3 linked regions of the Saccharomyces cerevisiae S288C genome follow. The gene in region 2 interacts genetically with the main gene of each other region. Each region holds a gene or a part of one and is shown on either strand. Other genes may lie near its edges.

What was found. Genes that interact genetically often act in the same process or in processes that back each other up.
Region 1: mutations in SOM1 (region 2) and ASG7 together harm fitness more than expected from each alone (negative genetic interaction), as found in Saccharomyces cerevisiae (one large-scale study listed by BioGRID).
Region 3: mutations in SOM1 (region 2) and GLD1 together harm fitness more than expected from each alone (negative genetic interaction), as found in Saccharomyces cerevisiae (one large-scale study listed by BioGRID).

The regions. Positions count from the first base shown.
Region 1 is NC_001142.9:100,299-103,462, forward strand, and holds ASG7 (Asg7p), read right to left. Parts: upstream 1,482-3,164; coding exon 852-1,481; downstream 1-851. Other genes in the region: TOH1 (Toh1p), read right to left, coding at 1-596; histone methyltransferase SET2, read right to left, coding at 1,929-3,164. UniProt on the Saccharomyces cerevisiae protein: Required for receptor inhibition of inappropriately expressed a-factor receptor (STE3) in MAT a cells. Inhibits signaling by relocalizing the G protein beta-gamma (STE4-STE18) subunit to intracellular membranes.
Region 2 is NC_001137.3:41,529-44,714, forward strand, and holds SOM1 (Som1p), read right to left. Parts: upstream 1,097-3,186; coding exon 872-1,096; downstream 1-871. Other genes in the region: PRB1 (proteinase B), read right to left, coding at 1-425; HHY1 (Hhy1p), read left to right, coding at 1,124-1,432; phosphoacetylglucosamine mutase PCM1, read left to right, coding at 1,724-3,186. UniProt on the Saccharomyces cerevisiae protein: Non-catalytic component of the mitochondrial inner membrane peptidase (IMP) complex. IMP catalyzes the removal of signal peptides required for the targeting of proteins from the mitochondrial matrix, across the inner membrane, into the inter-membrane space.
Region 3 is NC_001148.4:743,020-746,424, reverse strand, and holds GLD1 (Gld1p), read right to left. Parts: upstream 1,737-3,405; coding exon 852-1,736; downstream 1-851. Other genes in the region: DNA-directed RNA polymerase core subunit RPC40, read left to right, coding at 1-597; proteasome regulatory particle lid subunit RPN7, read right to left, coding at 2,682-3,405.

The sequences.
Region 1 (3,164 bases), on a different chromosome or scaffold from region 2:
TACCCATAGTAAGCTGGAATGCCACTACGGTAAACCCCACAACCCTTATCATAACCTGATTTTGGACATGAGACATTCGAATAGATTATGTATTCTTGATCTGAAGAAATCAAAGTGCCATCTGCCAAAACGGTAGCTTCACTGGCGCTGCCAGTACCGTTAGAACTAGCGTAGGACAAAGCATTTCCTAAACAAGGGGAAGCTTCACCTCCATGATTTAGAAAGGTAACGTTATCAGCGGTTTTGGAACTGGACTCATAGTAGGCAAGACGGTTCCAATCAGAAGAACTTCTGCTGTTGTTGACGGTAAATCCAGGGGATGTGTAAAAAGCAAATTGTTTCAACTTCAATGGTCCACGGAAATGAACGGATAAATAGTCTGCTAGTGGAGCGTTCTTACCACTAAACCATACTCTGTCACCCACTTCGCAAGTACACGATTCATTGTTGGTGATATCTTTAAACTTATTCACATCTACGTAGGAGCCTGTAAAACCAACATTAGTGAAATCCAACTTTTGGTACGACTGAGGTCCACTGGCAGCGACTGTGTGCAACATAAACATGCACACGGAAAGGACTATACTCTGTAACATTTGTCTTATTTAAGCTTGTAATGTTTGCACTTGAGTATGTTCTATTATGGCTGCTTCCTTCGATAAGGATTGTTTCTCGAGGATTTTCAGGTTTATAAATAACCTAAGCTCGGCAAAATAGACAAAAGAAAAGGGCGGAGCCAAGACTTTGAAAAAAAAAAATGGAAAAAGGAACCCTTGCAGATACAGCAAAAATGGGAAATGGAGGCTGTGGAAAAGAAAGAGGCTGATATCATTTTCTGTCTTTAGATCTACCTAACGGCTTTTCTTACATAGGAGAACTACAAATATTATGAGTATAGAATCGATGAGGAGGCCAAGCAAAGACCGTAAATTCCAGTCGCGGAAGGTCTTACGTAATAAATCGTGCGACTCCAGCACATCGTGGGCTACCTTCTTCAAAAACGCGTAACGATATTTTTTCAAGGTGTCATTCTCGTCCTCGACTTGTTCCGTGTTCACGTTTAGGAAAGACGACGGCATACCGTCTTTGCTCTCGTAATATTCTTCGCTGTTGCTATCACTGAAATTCTGCATGACGCGAATCTCTTGGAGGACTTCTTCCTTTATGGGTATCACCGTTCTTTTAGTTATGGCTTCATATTCATAAAATCCTGGGTATTCGTCTTCTTGCAAGTCGTGGAATTCCAATTCATGTGGTTGCCAATACTGTAAGAACCACCAGGCTAAAAGATTCACCAACCAGAAAACGGGGCACAAGATTCCAAAAACAAAAAACCTTGGCAGCCAAGGTTGGACAGGCACACTCATTTTACATGATTTGCATTGGCAACAGTATTTTTTCATCCAAGGGTTCTCATCGTTCTCGAAGGGCGCGGCTAGATGTTTTGTTTTATGCTCAATACTTGATGCTAAAGTAGTCATGTTTCTTGTCGTCATTCTTTGAATTTTTGTAGTCCTATGTACAAGCACAATATAAATGACAGACTAGTCAACGACGCTGACCCTTTATATGTTCCCCGTATATTCCTTGTTTTCATTGCAGTTAACATGTAAATTTCCCGATGCGGTAATTACGTTTCAAAGTCATTTCAACACTTCTATTGACAGCAAAAAAATAAAGACACTTGAAACGCACGATTTTTTCAAGAATAATATCTGTCGAGAAGATGTGTCACATTACCTATCATTACAGTGCTACTGATAGCCCACTAATGCGGATATTTAAATATATGCACCAAAAATGTATAAAGAAATAAACGGTAAAGACAAAAAAAATTACTTATTACAAATCGCAATTACAATTAAAGTACAAGACTTCCTTTGGGACAGAAAACGTGAAACAAGCCCCAAATATGCATGTCTGGTTAATTATGATGATGTTGAAGGTGGAGGAGAAGACATCCTTGTTGATGCTGATGATAATGCCAACGCCTTTTTTTGCTTCTTCTTGAGGATAATCTTATCCATGTATGAATTTATGAATTCTTTAACTTTATGCCTTTTTCCTTTGGTTAAGTCATCAGGCGGCGCTCTTGAAGAATCTTTTTTAAGTTCCTTTGTAGTTAGGATTTTCACGATGTCTTTAGCACATTGTTTAATGTTTTCATGATCAAATTGTTTACTTTGTGGGTTTTTTTTTATTAAGTTGGGTACAAAAGATGCAAAGAATTTATTCCAGTTGTGCTCTAGTCTTTGGGACTGGGAGACCGTTTTTCTTTTCAACCGCTTAGCCTCTTTTGCTTCCACTAGTTTTTTGGCCTCTTCCTTTTGTAACTCCTTCTGTTTGTTGGCCTCCGCTATAATATCCTCCAAAACGCTTTTTCTTTCATTCTCAAGCTTTAGCTTTTGCTTCAGGCTTTCCAATTCTTCTTGTTTGGCTCTTTCTAGCGCAATTCTTTCGTATTCCAGTCTTTTTTGTTTCTTCCTCTCATATTCTTCGTCACTCAGCTTATGTTTCTTAGAGTCTAAAGCGCCAGGCGTTTTTGGTATTCCACTGCTACTCGGAGAATTTACTTGTGTATTTGACCTTGAACTAAAGACCTTAGATGATCCCGAAGGTGGATAGTGTAGTTTCGTTTTCTGTTCTGCATTATAATACAATGGGCGACCGTTTTCGTGAATGATCTCCCAGCCTGGAGGTAATCTCACCCTTCTCAAATCTATCATTTTGCTGGCTGCGACGTTTATGTCTTTCTTCGTTATCCTTTTATATGTTTCAAATTTCGACCATTTCTCCAATAACTCATCGCAGTTTGGCTTTAAAAATGGAAACTTTGCAGGGAGAGTTTTTACTACATTATCAATTTGTGACGACTCAATACCGTTTCGAGTTGTCTTTGGTAATTCCAACAAAAAATCTAAAATTCCCTTTATAAACTTTATATCATCTTCTTCAGTCTCGTTTCCTTTTCCATCTACCTGAGGTTGTTCCGTGATAAACAATTTAAGCATTTTGCTAAAACAGGTGTAACCGTGTAGTTTGATAGCCTGATGACGAAGAGAGTCATCATCGATAGTAAAAAGTCTCTTCAAGAGTTTGGATGCAATTATCTTATTATCTTGCTGTAGTAATACACTCATGATCTTCGTCACATCCACTGGGCT
Region 2 (3,186 bases):
ACTTTCTTACCTTTCATCTTCTTCTCCTCCACCTTATTTTCGTGGCAGCCACCCTTATGGTGAGGCTTCTTCTTCTTATCATCATTATCATCATCATTGGAACTTTCATGCTTAGGCTTCATGCCCTTTCCTCCCTCGTGGGCGCTCCCATGAGAGCCACTTGCACGTTTACCGTTGAATTCCGGAGACTCCTTGTCTTGGCCCTTGCGGCCCTTCTTATGGAACTTTCCATGTTCTTTATCTTCAGAGTCAGATGGCTCCTCATCATCGTCCTTAGTGAATTCCACTTTTCTGGGTCTCTCGTGGTGATCTTCCTTGTTAATCAGTTCGTGGTGGTCGGCGGCATTTTCAAGATTTGGGATGACCAAAGCAGCAGAGATGCTCCCTAGGGCACCGAGTGTAAATAGAGTATTTTCTAACTTCATCTTTGCTTGTTAGAATTAGGTTTAGTTTGTTTTTTTATTGGCGATGAAGCTAATTGGACTCTTAAGTTTGTATGGGAAGAACTCCAATATAACGGGACGTAACATTGGCCCCCTTTTATATTCATCGCGCTCTTTATCGCGGGTGTGTTTGCCCCCGCCACTCCCGCAGTCCTGGCGTGATAAGCCACTGCAGTGGCATTACTGAGCCCAAATTTTGCTTTTTCAACAAGTCACCTAAATTTCCAAAGCCGAAAGCCCTGCTACTCTGCTAACCCGGAGCGTTTAAAGTCCACGGACATTTCCCAGCCCTCGTTTTTTCTCCTCCCGGGACCCCGGGCATAAGTGCATAGTAGGCACAGACCTGATCTGTCGGGTGCAGTTTAAAAAAGTCTTGGCAAAATTTTTTATTTATCACACTACTGTGCTATATAGAGTATATGTAATTTTTAACTATTGGTATATGTGTCCGTGACCTCGTAGTTAGTGGCTGATTTGTCGGGTGCAATGCAGTGTTCAAAAAGCCTCTTAAAAGGCGAGCAGACGTATTCGGCTCCTTTGAATTGGCACTCCCATTGCACAAGCTCTTTCAGCCGGCAGTTGGTTTGTGAGTCAAGCGTTGCTAACGGTGCGAGCGCTTGGTCCCTAGTGCGGATGGTGGTTGGAGGCGCCATGAGGGTTGATTGTCTTATCTGCGATAGATGAGTCTTTCTTTCCTTCTCTTTTCCCCTTTTCTCCCCCCCTGTTTCTCGTCCATCTCTATCTGTCTATCTGTCTTATCTACTGTTAGTTTTTTTTTCGCTTTCACGATACCGCATTACGTACTGCGCTGCGGAAGTGTGGATGAGTGGCATATACACTCTTCTGCAGAGGATTTTCGTACACAACGGTGTGTGTGTGCTGTGAAGCTGTCTGCTTCCTTACTTGGCTGTTTGCTTGCTTGTGCGTCATGGTCACTTTTGTTAGAAGTGAGCCGCATAAAATGGCATGTCGGCACAGCCTACAGTTAAAAATTAAGCATATCTGACTGTTTATCTGTTTATCTGTTTATACACGGTGAACTGTCACGAGAACCCTTACTTGCACGATTAGCAGATTGTTCAGAGAGCCTCGCTCGTTGAAGTTCTTCTATATGCCAGCGTGTTTCATGTAGCAGGAAACGTTGCTCTATTTATATCTTTTCTGACATTTTGCGTCGTCGGGAAAAAAAAGATTAAGTAAGAACAAAAAACCGTTAATGGTTTCAGCAATCGAGACAAGTACAAGGACCAAGGCAAAGGTCAGCAGTAAGCTTAGAGACGATGAAGGTTGATTACGAGCAATTGTGCAAACTCTACGATGACACGTGCCGCACAAAGAATGTGCAGTTCAGTTACGGTACGGCCGGATTCAGAACGCTGGCCAAGAATTTGGATACGGTGATGTTCAGTACTGGTATACTGGCGGTTCTCAGGTCGCTGAAGCTTCAGGGTCAGTATGTGGGGGTGATGATCACGGCGTCGCACAACCCATACCAGGACAACGGGGTCAAGATCGTGGAACCAGACGGATCGATGCTTTTGGCCACATGGGAGCCATATGCCATGCAGTTGGCCAATGCGGCCTCTTTTGCCACTAATTTTGAAGAATTTCGTGTTGAGTTGGCCAAGCTGATTGAACACGAAAAGATTGATTTGAATACAACCGTCGTGCCTCACATCGTGGTTGGGAGAGACTCTAGGGAAAGTAGTCCATACTTGCTGCGCTGCTTGACTTCCTCCATGGCCAGCGTCTTCCACGCGCAAGTTTTGGACCTAGGCTGTGTCACTACGCCTCAATTGCATTACATTACTGATTTGTCCAACAGGCGGAAACTGGAAGGAGACACAGCGCCAGTTGCCACAGAACAGGACTACTATTCGTTCTTTATAGGAGCCTTCAACGAGCTCTTCGCCACGTATCAGCTGGAGAAGAGGCTGTCTGTCCCAAAATTGTTCATAGACACAGCCAATGGTATCGGTGGTCCACAGTTGAAAAAACTACTGGCCTCCGAAGATTGGGACGTGCCAGCGGAGCAAGTTGAGGTAATCAACGACAGGTCCGATGTTCCAGAACTGTTGAATTTTGAATGCGGTGCGGATTATGTGAAGACTAACCAGAGATTACCCAAGGGTCTTTCTCCATCCTCGTTTGATTCGCTATATTGCTCCTTTGATGGTGACGCAGACAGGGTTGTGTTCTACTATGTCGACTCAGGATCAAAATTTCATTTGTTGGATGGTGACAAAATTTCCACTTTGTTTGCAAAGTTCTTGTCTAAACAACTAGAATTGGCACACCTAGAACATTCTTTGAAGATTGGTGTTGTGCAAACTGCCTATGCAAACGGCAGTTCCACCGCTTACATAAAAAATACGTTGCACTGTCCCGTGTCTTGCACTAAGACAGGTGTTAAACACTTGCATCATGAAGCTGCCACTCAGTACGATATTGGCATTTATTTCGAAGCAAATGGACATGGTACGATTATATTCAGCGAAAAATTTCATCGAACTATCAAATCTGAATTATCCAAGTCCAAGTTAAATGGTGATACGTTAGCTTTGAGAACTTTGAAGTGTTTCTCTGAATTGATTAATCAGACCGTGGGAGATGCTATTTCAGACATGCTTGCTGTCCTTGCTACTTTGGCGATTTTGAAAATGTCGCCAATGGATTGGGATGAAGAGTATACTGATTTGCCCAACAAGCTGGTTAAGTGCATCGTTCCTGATAGGTCAATTTT
Region 3 (3,405 bases), on a different chromosome or scaffold from region 2:
GTGAAGTGCACAAGAAATCCAGATGCTCCAAAGGGATCTACTGATCCAAAGGAACTATATAACAATGCCCATGTCTACGCCCGTGATTTGAAGTTTGAACCACAGGGCAGACAATCTACCACTTTTGCTGATTGTCCGGTTGTTCCAGCTGATCCTGATATTTTATTAGCTAAGCTAAGGCCTGGTCAAGAAATTTCGTTGAAGGCACATTGCATTTTAGGTATCGGTGGTGATCATGCTAAATTTTCACCAGTTTCCACCGCTTCTTATAGATTATTACCTCAAATCAATATCTTACAGCCAATCAAAGGTGAAAGTGCCAGAAGATTTCAAAAATGTTTTCCCCCAGGTGTTATTGGTATTGATGAAGGTTCAGATGAAGCGTATGTCAAAGATGCTAGGAAGGATACGGTTTCCAGGGAGGTTTTAAGATACGAAGAGTTTGCTGATAAAGTTAAATTAGGAAGAGTGAGGAACCACTTTATTTTCAACGTAGAAAGCGCTGGTGCCATGACACCAGAAGAAATTTTTTTCAAATCCGTCAGGATTTTAAAGAATAAGGCTGAGTATTTGAAAAACTGTCCAATTACCCAATGATCCTACTTTGCATACTAATAAAAAAAACACAGTTTGAGAAAAATATTAAATACTTAACCTCAGGGTCTTTATCTTTGTATAATCTTTTCTTCTAGTATTAGTAGAATTGGCAAATCCTACCAAAAAAATACAAACCCATGAATCGTCATAGATAAGGAAATGTAATAGAATGATATATGTAAATGTAACTCTCTATAAAATAGTGCCGATAACAGTAATATGCATTACCCCTTATGGACTACATATATATACTATTAGACAGAATTGCTAGCATTCTCATTGTTGTCATTAATATTGCCGTCATTTAAAATGGCATTCATGGTTTTATTTAATGGTATTCGTGCAACTATTACAGAGCCATCGTAGCCATCACTATTTACAGGTTCTAGTCTTTCTGGCTCTTCAAAATCTAAATCTGCCAATACAACACATGTTAGTGAAAATAAAGTAAACTGTACAATAAGTATGCTAAATTCGAACATTACTAATCCAAGATTGCCGGAAAAGTTGCTCTTTGGTAGCCGTTCTCCGATCATCTGTAGAAAAAGCCCACCTCTTCTCTCACCCAAAAGTAGACCATCTGAATTGGAAAAGGGTGAGGGAGTATTCTTAGGGCCATCGTCTACTGGCTCGCTACCACTCAGGGGTTCAAAAAAATCAATTGGGAATAGGATTGTTAAGATAATGAAAAGCATATTCAACGATAAGCAACCATGAAATAAAAACTTCCGGATTTGCTTTTTCATGGACACAATAGCGGTATCATCATGGTCTTGTTGCTCAGCTTCACTAGAAGAATTATAAAGCATTTCTGTTCCAAACATTCCGGGAAACCTGATAGATCTTCCGCCTGGAAGTGTTGCAACCCCCGTCGTGTTATTATCTGCACCGAGGGTCGCTAGCCTACGTAACTTGGCATCACTTGGAAAAGGAGAACTTATGAGAGATTGCACTATTGCTCTTGTTATAAGTGTCCAGACGGTACGATCATACTTGATATATTCCAATGATATTAAAACATACCCGAGAAAGCTCAAATTATTCACCAAATTTCTTTGGAAGTTTCTTTTTCGTAGTTCGTATACTCGTTTGTTTCCTATACTTAAATTTCCTTCAGCAGTACTTTCAAAATTATCCATTATTATATTGGCCTTATTGAAAACATAGATTAGTTTGCTTTTGGCCTGCTAATGGATGACAAATAGCGTGCTTAGTATTTTTAGGCTTCCGCAGTTTAGCTTTATTTGATGATACGTCAAGAGTGCGGGATAATGTAGGTTCAAAAGGATCAAATTGTGTTTCGTTATATATGATTTCCTTGCAATAACTATAGAGAAGGAGAACAATATAACCTTGTGCATGAAAGCATCATAGTCTTAAAGAAAAAATTTAAACTAAAATGCAGAATCAATTCTCATGGATTTTTTATATAAAAAGAAGCTAAATAAGTGTTAACTTTAGGGAAAAAATTTTGCCACCTGTCAGAATTGAACTAACGACCTTTGCATTACAAGTGCAACGCTCTACCACTAAGCTAAGGAGGCTTTTACACTGTAGGGTATCCTCCAAGAAGGGACAAAGTGTCTGCATGGAAATTTGCAGCCGACTTCTCTTAATGTCTGTAACACTTAAACTATCATGGAGTGATTTCATTTCAACGATATCCCTAAAAGCGAACCAGAAGTGTTTTAGTTGAATCGTTTATTGGCTAGAACACTCGAATACAACGTATTAAACAAATGAAGAAACAATGACCGTATCATGAATTTCCTTTTATGGGGATTCCTTTTTCTGGTTATACTACTTTTTAAGAATTGGCATTTTCAGCCTTAGATTCCTCACTTTCAAAAGAAGCATGGTCCTTTATGAGACATTGCAATTATGTAACTTTCCGAACTAAATACTGAAATTTTTAATGGAAGCTTGAAAACTATAGAAGCTCTCCGTTTTAAAGGAGAAAGAGGATGATTACAATCCTTTGACTTGAACCGATCCATATATCCTCTCACTACTATTTACTCAAGTCTCCAAACTATGTATACATGTTGATGTGATTATGTGCGTTGCTAAATAATGTAAATTCCTCAAACACGATCTGACCCTGTCAATCTCACTGCTGCACCGTATTTTTGTAATTTTGTTAGCAAACCGTCACCTTGCTTAACTAGCAGATGGTATTGAGCATTTTTGTTGTCTGGCCTGTTGGTCTCTACGATCCCATTAACTCTATCAATGACACAATTTAGTTGCTTATTTGGAATAAACTTACCCAGGTCGTTATCCAAGAACGCAACCGAAACACCAAATGCGCTTGCCATAGATTTCAGCGACAAAGTCTTATATGATTCCAACAATTGTGCGTAGACTTTTCTTCTCATTTCTCTAACAAAGAAATCTGCATGTCTATTCAAATATTTACATGGAATCAAAACATTTGCATATGTTTCCAAAAGATATGGAAAGTAACTGGCATAATCGGACGCGTAAAGGGAAATTGTTAACGACGAGATAGATTGTAGTGCGGCAGTTGTTGAGATTAAAGATAACAATTCAGGTGAATCGATGACTTTGGATTTTAGGTCTGTTCTTTCCAGAGTGAATAAACCTGTGACCGATGCATATGTGGCAATGCTTTCATAGGAAGTTAATTCAATAGAGGTGAAAGTTGCTAGAGAATCGACCAATAACTTTGCCGCTTCCTTAAAGTTTCTTACGGCCAAGCAGTGGATACCATAGTATGTTTTATATCTATTTCTTCTCTCCCAGTCACCACCTTTTTCAATCATAGAATTGACTGCTTCCAACTTC